2 linked regions of the Coturnix japonica genome follow. Each later gene encodes a partner of the first gene's protein in a complex. Links are inferred from orthologs where the notes say so. Each region holds a gene or a part of one and is shown on either strand. Other genes may lie near its edges.

Region 1 (6,268 bases):
AACCCAGCACTCATACTCAAAATGAGAACAAGAAGAACCGTGTCAGGTACAGGCCAGGCACACATGGACACGTGGCTGACAGAGCCATGGTGAATCAGCCGGTGAAGGAGTAAAACCAGCGAATGCCTGATGGACTGGTCAGAGGAGAGGAGGTGCTGGAACTTCAGGATCCGCAATGAGCTGGCCAAGTTCTCAAGCACTTTTTGGTTGCGCTCCGCAACGAGCTCCACCGCACCCTGCAGCATGTTACACAGAGTAAGCTGGCTCACATGGGGTGAGCTGTGGAGCAGCGGGGAGAAATGATGGTCATTGAGGCGCCAGTCAGAGGAAACATCCAAGACACCATGAAGAACGTTTGAGAAGAACGTTTCAAAGAACTTCTTCTTCCAGCAGCGGATATTCTGCAATTAAACCATCTTAGAGTCAACCGGGATTAAAAAGTGGAAGTAAAGGCTGTGCTAACAAAGAGTCAGCCACCATCTTTGAATCAAATTACCACACAGGTATCCAACACGTGACTTCAGCACACGGAGGTTTAACCCTGATACAAGATATTGTTTTTACCTTCTGTTCCCCTAAAGAAATGCATCTGTAAAGCCAGTTTTCTTCTTTCAGCACACTTAATGACGTGATATCAAGGCTGTGTACAGCTCATCCCTCACAACAGATGCTTATTTCCCATAGTCAAACTTACACAAGAGCCATGCGTTGGTCTCAAGCTCTACAAGTGCCCAGCAGCAGTGTGACATTGAGTAAAAGCAGAACCCATGTGTGTCAATGCAGTTTCCTCACCTCTGAGTTGGGGGGTCTGGTTTTCATCACATCATCCCACAGCTGGCGCCAGATGGGCTGCGTGGACAGCCCTGGAAAAGAAAAGAAACCAGGTGCTGCTCTCAGCCTTTCTTCCTCAGCTGGAAGCCCCGCTCGGTGCTCCCACAGCGGGCAATGGAAGGAGAGGGGGTGCAGGGTCAGACTGGGACAAGGAACGTGCTCAGAGTGCGATGAAGTAAATGGGTTCATCTCTCAGTTACTAAGATCGCCCCCTTTCTTACCTGCTCTCCTCGCGGCGGCCTCGGCTCTCTCCAGCCGGAACACGGACAGCAGCGGCAGCAGCCCCCGCAGGAGGTGTCCGGGCAGCGCTGAGGAGAGCGAGAAGGAGACGGCAGCAACGTGCAGGCACCCGACACCCCGCACCACCACCCCGCGCCTTACCCCACACGTCGGGCTCTAAGGCCGCCATACTGCGGCTCACGGCCGCCGCGCTCAGCGCCTGCAGCGTGTCAGGCCGCTCCGCCGACATCACCCCGCTCGGCGCCGCCATGTTGGGAGGACCCGGCCCCGCCTCCTCGCTCCCACCGCCATTGGGGTGAGGGGGAAGAGCAGGCGGCCATCTTGAGATCTGCGCTTCCGGAGCGTAGAGCGGCACTTCCGTCGAGTGACCCTGGTGAGTCCTGGTGCCGCCATGGGGCTGCGGGACGCGGTTGTTCACGCCGGAGAACCCGAGGTGAGCGGAGCCGGGCGGGGCTGAGCGAGGGGACGGGACGAGGCCTGGGGTCAGAGCGAGCGGTAACGGCTGTGCTGTGCTTTGTCCGCAGGAGGAAGAGGAGGAGGAGCTGGTGGTGAGTCGGGGCGTGAGGGCCTGTGGGCACGGGGTGGGTCCGGGCTGCTAGCTGGGCCTTTAAAACGAAGGAACCTGTGTTAAACCGCCGCCTTTCGGGCTGTCTGTGCTTATATCGCGTCCATAGGACCCGCTGACCACTGTGAGGGAGCACTGCGAGCAGACCGAGAAGTGCGTGAAGGCCCGGGAGCGGCTGGAGCTGTGCGATGCACGGGTGTCCTCGCGGTCCCACACGGAGGAGCAGTGCACCGAGGAGCTCTTCGACTTCCTGCACGCCCGGGACCACTGTGTGAGTGCTGCACTGCTGGGTGCATCCCTATAGGAGCTGAGAGGCTCTTGTTGTGCTCCTGAGCTTAAAGCGTCTCCTCTTCCAGGTTGCCCACAAACTCTTCAGCAAGCTGAAGTGAATGAAGGAGTGATCATCCATCTGCTTCCACAGTCCAAACGAAGAGCCTCGTTGGTTCGCAGTTCTGCCTCTTTATCGCCAACGTGAAGTATAAACCAAGTGGCTTCTTGGCACCGACCGAGCACCAGAATGTCATTGTGTCTGTTCTCATTGCAGCTGCACATCTTCATAAAAAACATATGGATGTTCTGTAATTTTCCATATTAAACATACAAAGTTCCTGTGGAAGTGCCCTTGGTTTATTTCGTAGTCCTTGCAGCGCTCATTTGTACTGGTATGGAGTTAGGATGAAAGCAGTGAGGCTCAGAGCCCACCCCACCTGCTTGGATCCACACACTTCACCCCTGTGAGGTGAAGCCATTCCTGTTTATTGTGCTGCCCTTATTGCTAATGGAGCTTCTGTTGTCACCTCTGCGTTGTGACCCAGAGCAGCTGTCCATGGGGCTGCATGTGGGCACGGTGGTGGTGCCATCCGAGTCTGAGTGCTGCTCTGCTGTAGCACCACAGTGAGCAGTAGCAGCAATACAATCCTTATACTGGGGATTCTCAAGCTCAATCCCTATCGGCTCCAAACAGTTCTATTCGTGCAGCTTGCAAAGCCCTGCATCTGAGCGGCACCGCAACGTTACCGCGTGTCCCCGGCCGCCTCCAACCAGGGGCGGGCTGTGAGCTCCGGTCCCGCCCCGGAAGGCGCTGCTGAGCGCAGCCATGGCGGCACCGGGCGGCCGGGCTGTGCTGCTGCGGAGGGTTCGTGTGCTGGGGCTGAGCCCCGTGTCCCGGCGGTACCTCTACAAGAAGAAGTGGGTGAGAACCGGGGCAGCTCCGCGCTTTTCTTCCCTCTGATCTGTCCGTCCCCTCGCTGTGCCTCCCCCATCGCACCTCCTTTTTCTGTCTTTCATCCCCTTTACCACCCCCCTTCCCCCAGCACTGTTGCTAATGCACTCTTTCCCCCCCTCCCCATTACACCCATCGCGGCTCTCATTGCACCCTCCTACACTCCTTCCTTTATCCCATCTTACACCCCATACACCTCTCCCTGAGTCCACCTGCCTTTCCCCTCCCACATACCAGCCCCCAGCTCCGTCTTTTGGTCTCCCAGTCCCTTCACCCATTGGATCTCTCTTTCCAAAGGCCACCACCTCCCCTCGCATCCCGGCCACCCGCCTGGCGCTGCATCACTTTGACACCACGTACAGTCTGCAGCTGCAGGAGCTCTGGCCGGCCGTGCGAGCAGCAATGCTGTGCGAGCAGAAATACGGCGCCCTGCTCAACAACTTCACCTCTGCCGACCTCGTCGCCCAGCAGCTGGAGCTGCTCGGTGCCACCGATTTTGTTTCTGAAGCTGCCAGAAGGGATCAGTGTTGGCAGGAAAGTGCAGGGGTAGAAGCAGAGAAGAGGAAAACCCTGGAGGGGTCTGGTGGAGATGGGCCAGCAGTGCCAGCAGAGACGTCACCGCTGCTTCGTGCCTCTGTCAGCTCCAACATCAAGTGCTACACCTTCCCCAGGGGCGACATCTCACGCTTCCGTCCTGCGTGGTGAGATGGTTCGCCTGCTATTGACATTGAATAGTGCCGACCTATATCCAGCCAGGCTTCTATAGTGCTGTATTAACTGCCCCACATCAGGGGCCCTAGACAGTCAGAGCTGGTAGGGGGGCACCCAGCCCACAGCAGGGGTTGGAGCTGGTTGATAGATCCATAAGGTTCCTTTCAACTCAGCTATGCTATGATTCCACGAGTCTGTGTTTCTATAACTATTCCTGCTATGAACCAACATTGCTAGTTGTAATACTGTAATCTATAATGTGATAGTAGCGGGGCGGCACAGTCTTAGGCTTCAGCAAATGAGAACAAGCCCAAATACAGAAACAAAGGAAGAAAAAAAAAAGCTTCTTACCTTAGAAGTTCTCCAGAGAGACACCCTCACCTCCACTGCCAGCCTTTAAATGAGGGCTGTAAAGGAGTAGATCCTGGCTCCAACCCTCCCAGTCACTCACCTGGTGTGAGTGCATTGCACGCACCTGAGCTCCCCTGGGTTGGCCCTGCCTTCCCACCAGGTGCCCCATCACTGCTTCAAGCTGTGACTTAGCATTCCTGCTACACCAGCATCAAGCTGTTAGCACCAGCTCCTTTTGGTTATACCCATCGTAGCTTCCAACTATATATTTTTCTTTGTTTTCTATATGCAAAATGGTGGTTTCCAGGCCAGACTCTCTTGGGATCCTCAGCTACTATCTCATGGATGCAGCATCCCTCCTGCCCGTTTTGGCCCTCAATGTGAAGCCAGATGACCTCGTCCTGGACCTCTGTGCAGCTCCAGGTGGCAAGACGCTGGCTCTGCTGCAGACTGGGGCTTGTGGTAAGTGGAGGGGAGTTAGTAAAGCTGAGACTGAGAGTGCAGGGTACATGGCGATACCTTTCTGTTCATCTTTTCTGCTTATAGGAGTTGGTGTGGTTTTGTTTTCCAGGGTGAATTTCTCAGCATGCTGTTTCCCATCTCTCACCTCAGGGTATCTGGCAGCCAATGATGTCTCCATTTCCCGAACAAAGAGGTTGTATCACATTCTCAATAGCTACATTCCCAAGAAGGTCAGGGAGGCTGTGAGCGTTACATCGCATGATGGAAGGGACTGGGGGGAGCTGCAACGTACAACTTTTCATAAGGTGAGTGACTGGAAACTAGTGAAGGGAATCATATAAATGTTGGGTTGTAAGGGACCTCAAAGCCCATCCAGTTCCAGTCCCTGCTGTGGGCTGGTTGCCCCACCACTTTAGGCTACCCAGGTCCCCATCCGACCTGGGGCACCCCCAGGGACGGGGCACACACAGCTCTCTCTCTATGTCAGCACCTCACATCTAGCTTAGTTTTTTCCTGTTTCAAAGTGAGACAGCAGCTTACCCAACAGTGTGATCGTGTAGTTTTACATAGCCTGATACGCTGAACAAGAGCTAAAGCTAAGCCAATGATAGAGCAGTATTTCATCTAGCTATACCATTCCTCCAGGACCTGAGAGTATGGGCATTCTGAGTTGTACTTTTATCTGGTGGCATAAGCTAGGCAACGTACAGAGGGCTACATTTGTGTGGTGTGGTGGAAGCATTGGGTGAAGTGATGGTGGGGGATTTCTGAGACAGACCAGGGCCCAAAGCTGATGTGGGATCTGTGCTGCTCCAGGTCCTTGTGGATGTGCCCTGCACAACAGACAGACACTCTGTCATGGAGGAGGAGAACAACATCTTCCACAAAATAAGAACCAAGGAGCGTCAGATGTTGCCAATGCTGCAGTTACAGCTGCTGATGTGAGTGAGCTTGAAGCTGTTTTGTTGCTGTATGTATTAGCACTGAAACCTCTTCTTACTTCACATGTGCCTAGTCAAGAGCTCTCCCCACTCCATATGGGTTATGTACTGGCACACACAGTTATTATAGTGCTGTTATCCCATGCTTTCTTCTTCCTCCCCTGGTGGTATGTTTGTTTTATCTTGTCCATAGGGCTGGGATCCTTGCTGCCAAACCAGAAGGAGAGGTGGTGTACTCCACGTGCTCCCTCTCTCCGCTGCAGAATGAACATGTGGTTGAGAGAGCGATAGACATCGCAGAAACTCAGTTCAACATCACTGTCCACGTTGAGGACCTGAGCCACTTCCGAATGCTCTTCCAGGACACGTTTTGTTTCTTCTCAGGTTGCCGGCTGGGGGAGCTCGTTCTTCCTCACCTCACAGCCAACTTTGGGCCTATGTATTTCTGCAAGTTACGCCGAGAATAAGGGATGAAAGGTCTGGGTTTGGGGCAGCTCAGCTTTCCTCACTGTACATCTCTGGGCTGTCGTGTTTGGAACTGATGTTGTTTCCCTTTTGCTGGTTATCATGACATACCCTGAATGTCCAGAGAAAGCATATTTAAAGGATATTTATTTTTCTTTTTAAAACATATTAAATGGGCTAAATTGTTTTCATCTTATGCGAACAGGTTCAGGATAATAAAACAGGTTCAGGAGGCTGCGTAGATGGAAATGAAAGTGACCGCCCATCCATATCCATCCTTCCAGGAAGGTGCAGTTCATGGGTTGCTGATCATTTGAGTTCAGCATAAGCCAGTCCTGCCCAATGCATCACAGCTCTGACAAGTGTTAGTGTGGCTGCACAGTGTGCTGATGGGGAACGCTGCGTAGTTATTAATGCAGCAACAGTGACTGGTTGTTTTCAGCCTCTGGTGCAAGGAGGGGGAAAAGGGGAATGAGAAGC
Region 2 (5,142 bases), on another chromosome or scaffold:
TCTCTGCCAGACCAGCAGTGCCTTTGCCCTGCCCTGCCTTACCTACCCCTGGGGGTCCCTCAGCCCCTCTGGGCTTCTGGCTCTGCTCTGGACCCAACAGGCTGAGCCCACCAGCAGCTCTACCAACCTGTTTTCATAACCCAAGGTTATAAGAAGTTACCTATAACCCCCAAATAAAACAATTGAACATGGACCCCAAAGCCTTAGCTATCCCACGGTCTGGTGGGGAGGAGGTCTTTACATCTGTTCCCTACACCCAGGCAGCTTCCACTGCCCCCATTTGGTTGTCCTTTACTTTGTTTTATAAACAATGTGTGGTTTTAACCACCTTTCCAGCTCAGAAAGTGATGGAGCACCTCGCCTATACCAGGCAGGCTGGCAGCAGGGGGTGATGCTGCGCTCAGTGTGACACAGCACAAGGTGCCACCCCCCCCTGCACCCTGTCACCCAGTGGGGCTGCTGCCATCCCCGCGCTGTTTGTGGGTCCCCCGGTGACTGTAGCAGAGCCAGCAAAGAAGAGGAGGGGGGGAAAAAAAAGTAGCTTAGAAACGTTCCTAGTTGTTGTGAGTTTGTACGACGATGCTAGTTAAACATAGATTTGTGTATTGCCATACACGGTGTATATTATAAATTAATACGTACCAGAGATATATCGTAGTTACATAGTGTTGTGTCCCTGGCAGGAGGGGGGACAGCCCTGCAGTGCCTGTCTGAGCGCTGGGTAAGCAGCAGGGTGCCCTGCAGCGCTGGGGATGCTTCTGCCATGGGGAGAACCAGGTTTGCAGGTGGAGCCCTTGTTTATCTCTAAGGCTGTGGCCGCAATGGGATCCTCCCGTTGGAAAACCAGCCCCTGGGGTTGTGAGCTTAAGGATCCGGAGCAGGCTGGGCTGTGCCCCACAGCGGGGCCTGGCCCCTCTGCTGCCCTGCGCTGGAGCTGCCCTCCCTGCAGCGCTAAGACAGCAGCCTCCAGCACAGCACGAAACACAGCCAAAAGGTTTTAACTTAGTCTTTAAAAGAAATTAGTTATTGGGGTTCCGTGGGTGTTGGTGTTTTTATTTTCGGAGTGGGGGGGAGGGGGGTTGTTTTTTGTTCAGTTTTGTTTTGTTTTTAATAAATAAATAAAAACACTTTATAGAAACGCTATATTGTGTGGAGCAGCTGGTCAATGAGCTGGGGGGGGACGCGGGGCAGCTCGGGAGGGCTCGGTGCTGGGCAGGTCCTTGTCATCTCCATGTGCGTGCAGTGCAGCACTGCCCTCCTCTTCCTCTTCGTCCTCCTCTTCATCCTCCTCCTCCTCCATCTCCTGCTCCTCCTCCTCCCGTGCCAGCAGCCGTTTGAACACCTCGTACTCCTGGCTTGTTGCGCGGGCTGTGCCGGCCACGAAGTCTCCGTCGTCCGGCCGCAGCACGTCCCGCAGCGCCGGGTTGTCGCTCTGGCTCTGCCCCTTGTGCGGGGTGCGGTACAGCCCCCGGCGCTCCAGGAAGATGTGGCGGTTCCTGAGCTCGGCGAAGGGCGTGCAGAACAGCCGGGCCTTCACCATCTCCTTGTGCCGGACGCCCATCCTGAAGTACGCGTACTGCGCGTGGAAGCACACGGAGCTCAGCGGCACACGGAGCTCAGCGGCACACGGAGCTCAGCGGCACACGGAGCTCAGCGCCGCCCGGGCCGTGCCCGCAACCCCGGCGCTCCGCCCCGCACCTGGAAGTGGAGCTGCACGCGGCCCGGCTCCTCCAGCAGCACGCGGGGGCAGCTCCGCAGCAGCTCCGCCAGCTGCTCGGCCGTGAACAGGCACCGCTCCCGCAGCAGCCGCACCACCGCCTCCATCCTCCGCCGGGGCAGCGTCAGCACCTCGGGGCAGCGGCCCGTCAAGCTCTGCAGCCGGGCTATGAGCGGGGATATGGGCTGAGCGGGGATATGGGCTGAGCGGGGACACGGGCTGAGCGGGGCGCTCCCGGCCCGGCCTCCTCCCATCCCCGGCCCTACCTCCTTCCAGCCCCAGCCGCCGCAGGTACCCGGCGCGCTCCTTGAGCTGCGCGCTCCCCATCCGCAGCAGCTTCGGGCTCCGCTCCATCAGCCCCAGCGCGGCCTCCGCGCTCAGCCCCAGCAGCAGCAGCTGCGCCGCCGTGTCCACCCGCCGCTGCGGCTCGAGCCCCGGCTGCAGCAGGAGGAGCCGCCGGGCCTGCGCCTGGCTGAAGCCCATGGCCAGCAGCTCCGCAGCATCGCCCTGCTCCGAGCCCGGCGTGCAGCAGCGGGGCCGGGAGGACGGGACCAGCACCGGGACGAGGGCACGGGGCGCGGCGATACGCAGCACAGCCAGCAGCCGAACCGCCATGGCTCGGGGAGGAGCCCAGCACCGCGCAGCCGCCTCAATACAGGGGGAGGGGACCATCAGTTCCAACCCACTGCTGTGTTGGTGACCCTGCACCAACAGCACAGGCTGCCCGCAGCCACATCCAGGGCGCAGTTAACCAACAGGACCACAGTACACGTGGTTATTCTTCTTTTTTTTTTTTATCTGAAAGAGTAAAACTACATATAAAAGTAAAAACAGCCAATACAAATATATTCTGAGCTATAAACAATAGAAGAAGACAAAATAAAACCCCAACCCAAATCTCTCCCGGCTTAAAAACCCATTCTAGGTAAGAATAATTACAACCCTGTCAGCTGGACACAGCTTTGACACAGCTGCTGTGAGCCACAAGCAAGGGGCAGACCCTGGGCTGCAGTGTATAAAAGGGTCACAACTTACACTACTGAGCAACCAGGGTTTGCATACAGGAGGCACAAAAGGGACCAGGGTGAGAGCTGCACACCAGGGGCTAAACAAAGAGCCAGGCAGTCAGCGCTGCACTGGCAGGGGCTGCTGCAGGGAGCGGCTGCAGCGACTGCCCAGGCTCCAGCCCTGACCCCTGCCGGCTGCAGCTCCTTCCCAGGGGCGATGTGCGCACACACAGCTGGGAGCGCTCAGGCACGGCTCACTGCACACACCGGGAGCTGAGGGGCTGGCTCTGTATGAACCATTGCTCAATCCATTGCTGTCTAGAAAGAAAGATCAACAGCGAGGGATGAACCGTAGGCCCCACTGGTCAATGGGTCAAGTTCAAAGCACACGTGGTTAGCAAAAGATTGCCTTTGGGTAAAAGCACGTTGCTAACCACAGGCAAACCTTGTCTTATAAACCCTCCCCATGGTGGGGGAGGAAAAGCCTTCAGAACATCTCACCTGCCCCAGCAGAGACGTACACCTCTTCCCAGCTGTAATCACCCAGATTCACAGGCTGCTTCAGCCAAGGATCCTCCACCAGCATCTCTAGAGTTGTGCGCTGCTCCGGAGCGGGGTGCAGCAGCCCCACCATCAGATTCATGAGATCTGGGAAGAGACAAACAGCTCAGCCTGGATTTTAGGCATGCTGGGAATGCAAGATATGATTAATATTCAAAAGAACGCAGATCTCAATTACAAATCCTCCCTGCTAATCTCTTGTACCATCCTGTTCTATTGCAGCTCTATTCACAAGCACTTACGTGTGCTCAGCTCCTGGGATGATGGGATTTCCGGGTTGTAAGAAAGAACAGAGAGCAGTTCTGACCCCGAGGACAGAGAAACAAATGCCACAGAGGCAGCCCTAACAAACTGCTTTGGAGCCCAGCACACCTGGTTTCCTATAGCTCAAAGCAGGAGGCAATGAGTTTTTCCTATGATGTCAAGATATACGATTCATTAAGAAATCATATCCTAAGAGATGATCATCAAACATCCCCAGAGTGACACTCTGTCACTTGACAGTTGGTTCAAGTGAGATAAATCTTGCATTAGAGTTAGACAAGTGCCTCTATTGACTGAACATTATGTCCTATAGTCAGCCTTCCCAGCAGGCCTTGTTCTGCTTTTCTCAAGCATAAACCTCACTGAATTCTGACAAAACAATAGATTGAATCATCTTTGTAAGTGGGAGGACTGGAATTTGAAACTAATAAGACAGGCAGTAAGTAGCTGAATTGCAGGCATAGAGAACTGCAGAGCAGAATTTCTCTGCTTCAGAAAACAGCATTTTAAATCATTGCGTAGGACATTTGGAACCGTTTTCCCCTTTTTTCTCTGCTCGTATTTTCCTTTAAATGGGAGAAAAGTCACCTTTGGACACAAGGCGAGGAAAATTCAGGACAGCTGCCATGGCCTCTTCCAGCTCACAGAAAGGATTCTCTCCAAATACGAGGGTATAAAGGGTGACACCAAGTGACCACATCTCCAGCTCAGGGCCGCGGTACCTACACAGAGATACACAAGCTTGCATGAGTTCCAAATGCAACAACATAATTGTGTGCTAAGGAATGTAACCATAACCTGAAACTGCTAAATATTTAAACAAAACTTGATACAAGCTCTCCAAAAGAGCAGCTTTTAGTTGAGAGGTGGGTATGGAGAATTAGGAAGCTGACGTGCATACTATGAGAGACGAGGGAAGGACACCAAGTCACAGCACAACTCATCCAGGCTGGAAATGACGACTGTAGGCTTGTTTGTGAACTCAGCTCTGTCGCAGGAAAGATGTTGATGTAAACTAACGTATAACATACATAAACTCATCGACAGGCTTAATAAAAATCAACTTCACGTGCATTTCAGCCTCTGCAAATAATTTGTGTCACTGTAGTGCCCTAAGTCTCACTTTGGTTTTCTGTGATTAGATGCTCCAGCAGAGTTCCAAGGGCAAAGCACCCTGCCTGCTTCCATCCAGCCCTGCACACACAGGGTTGGGTTTGTGTGGGGGTGTGATTTACAACAAAAGGGCTTTTCATAGGGTGACATACGGTTTGCCAGACAGTACTTCTGGTGAGCAGTATTCAATTGTCCCGCAGAAGGTGTAGAACAGTCTGCCAGGCTGCAGGTAGGCAGCAGAACCAAAGTCCACTAGTTTAATTGTGAAATCTTCAGCAATGACAATGTTCTCATCCTTGATATCTCTGTGAAGGATGTTTCTACAGTGGAGGTACCCAACAGCTGACACAAGCTGAAAGAGGAAGAGAGAGCAATGTGTTAACTCATACAGATGTCCTTCCAAGTGATGTAAATGGCATCAGAGCTACCACAGCCACATCTTAGGTTGCTTTGACACCGTATAAAGGCACAGATCCTCAT

What was found. The genes of interacting proteins can lie anywhere in the genome.
Region 2: the proteins of NSUN4 (region 1) and MTERF4 are in contact, whole or in part, in a crystal structure (PDB 4FP9), measured with the Homo sapiens proteins. The link is inferred for Coturnix japonica from reciprocal best matches to the Homo sapiens genes NSUN4 and MTERF4. Residues at the interface, in NP_950245.2 of Homo sapiens: Pro61, Ser62, Arg64, Val65, Leu68, Ser69, Glu70, Arg136, Gly137, Asp138, Ile139, Arg141, Asn367, Leu368, Met369; in NP_872307.2 of Homo sapiens: Tyr267, Glu269, Arg270, Leu271, Gly272, Arg273, Glu311, Glu312, Val315, Phe316, Lys318, Leu319, Arg322, Glu323, Glu326.

What each region holds. Positions count from the first base shown.
Region 1 is NC_029523.1:19,165,410-19,171,677, forward strand, and holds NSUN4 (5-methylcytosine rRNA methyltransferase NSUN4), read left to right. Parts: upstream 1-2,364; 5' UTR 2,365-2,732; coding exon 2,733-2,828; intron 2,829-3,155; coding exon 3,156-3,559; intron 3,560-4,227; coding exon 4,228-4,382; intron 4,383-4,532; coding exon 4,533-4,687; intron 4,688-5,198; coding exon 5,199-5,323; intron 5,324-5,516; coding exon 5,517-5,790; 3' UTR 5,791-6,032; downstream 6,033-6,268. Other genes in the region: LRRC41 (leucine-rich repeat-containing protein 41), read right to left, coding at 1-401, 793-863, 1,053-1,139, 1,213-1,321; cytochrome b-c1 complex subunit 6, mitochondrial, read left to right, coding at 1,463-1,504, 1,596-1,619, 1,746-1,907, 1,993-2,025. UniProt on the Homo sapiens protein: Mitochondrial RNA cytosine C(5)-methyltransferase that methylates cytosine to 5-methylcytosine (m5C) in various RNAs, such as rRNAs, mRNAs and some long non-coding RNAs (lncRNAs).
Region 2 is NC_029524.1:3,758,387-3,763,528, forward strand, and holds MTERF4 (transcription termination factor 4, mitochondrial), read right to left. Parts: upstream 2,420-5,142; 5' UTR 2,390-2,419; coding exon 1,984-2,389; intron 1,884-1,983; coding exon 1,699-1,883; intron 1,577-1,698; coding exon 1,163-1,576; 3' UTR 1,094-1,162; downstream 1-1,093. Other genes in the region: PASK (PAS domain-containing serine/threonine-protein kinase), read right to left, coding at 2,843-3,042, 3,226-3,372, 4,138-4,271, 4,815-5,014. UniProt on the Homo sapiens protein: Regulator of mitochondrial ribosome biogenesis and translation. Binds to mitochondrial ribosomal RNAs 16S, 12S and 7S and targets NSUN4 RNA methyltransferase to the mitochondrial large ribosomal subunit (39S).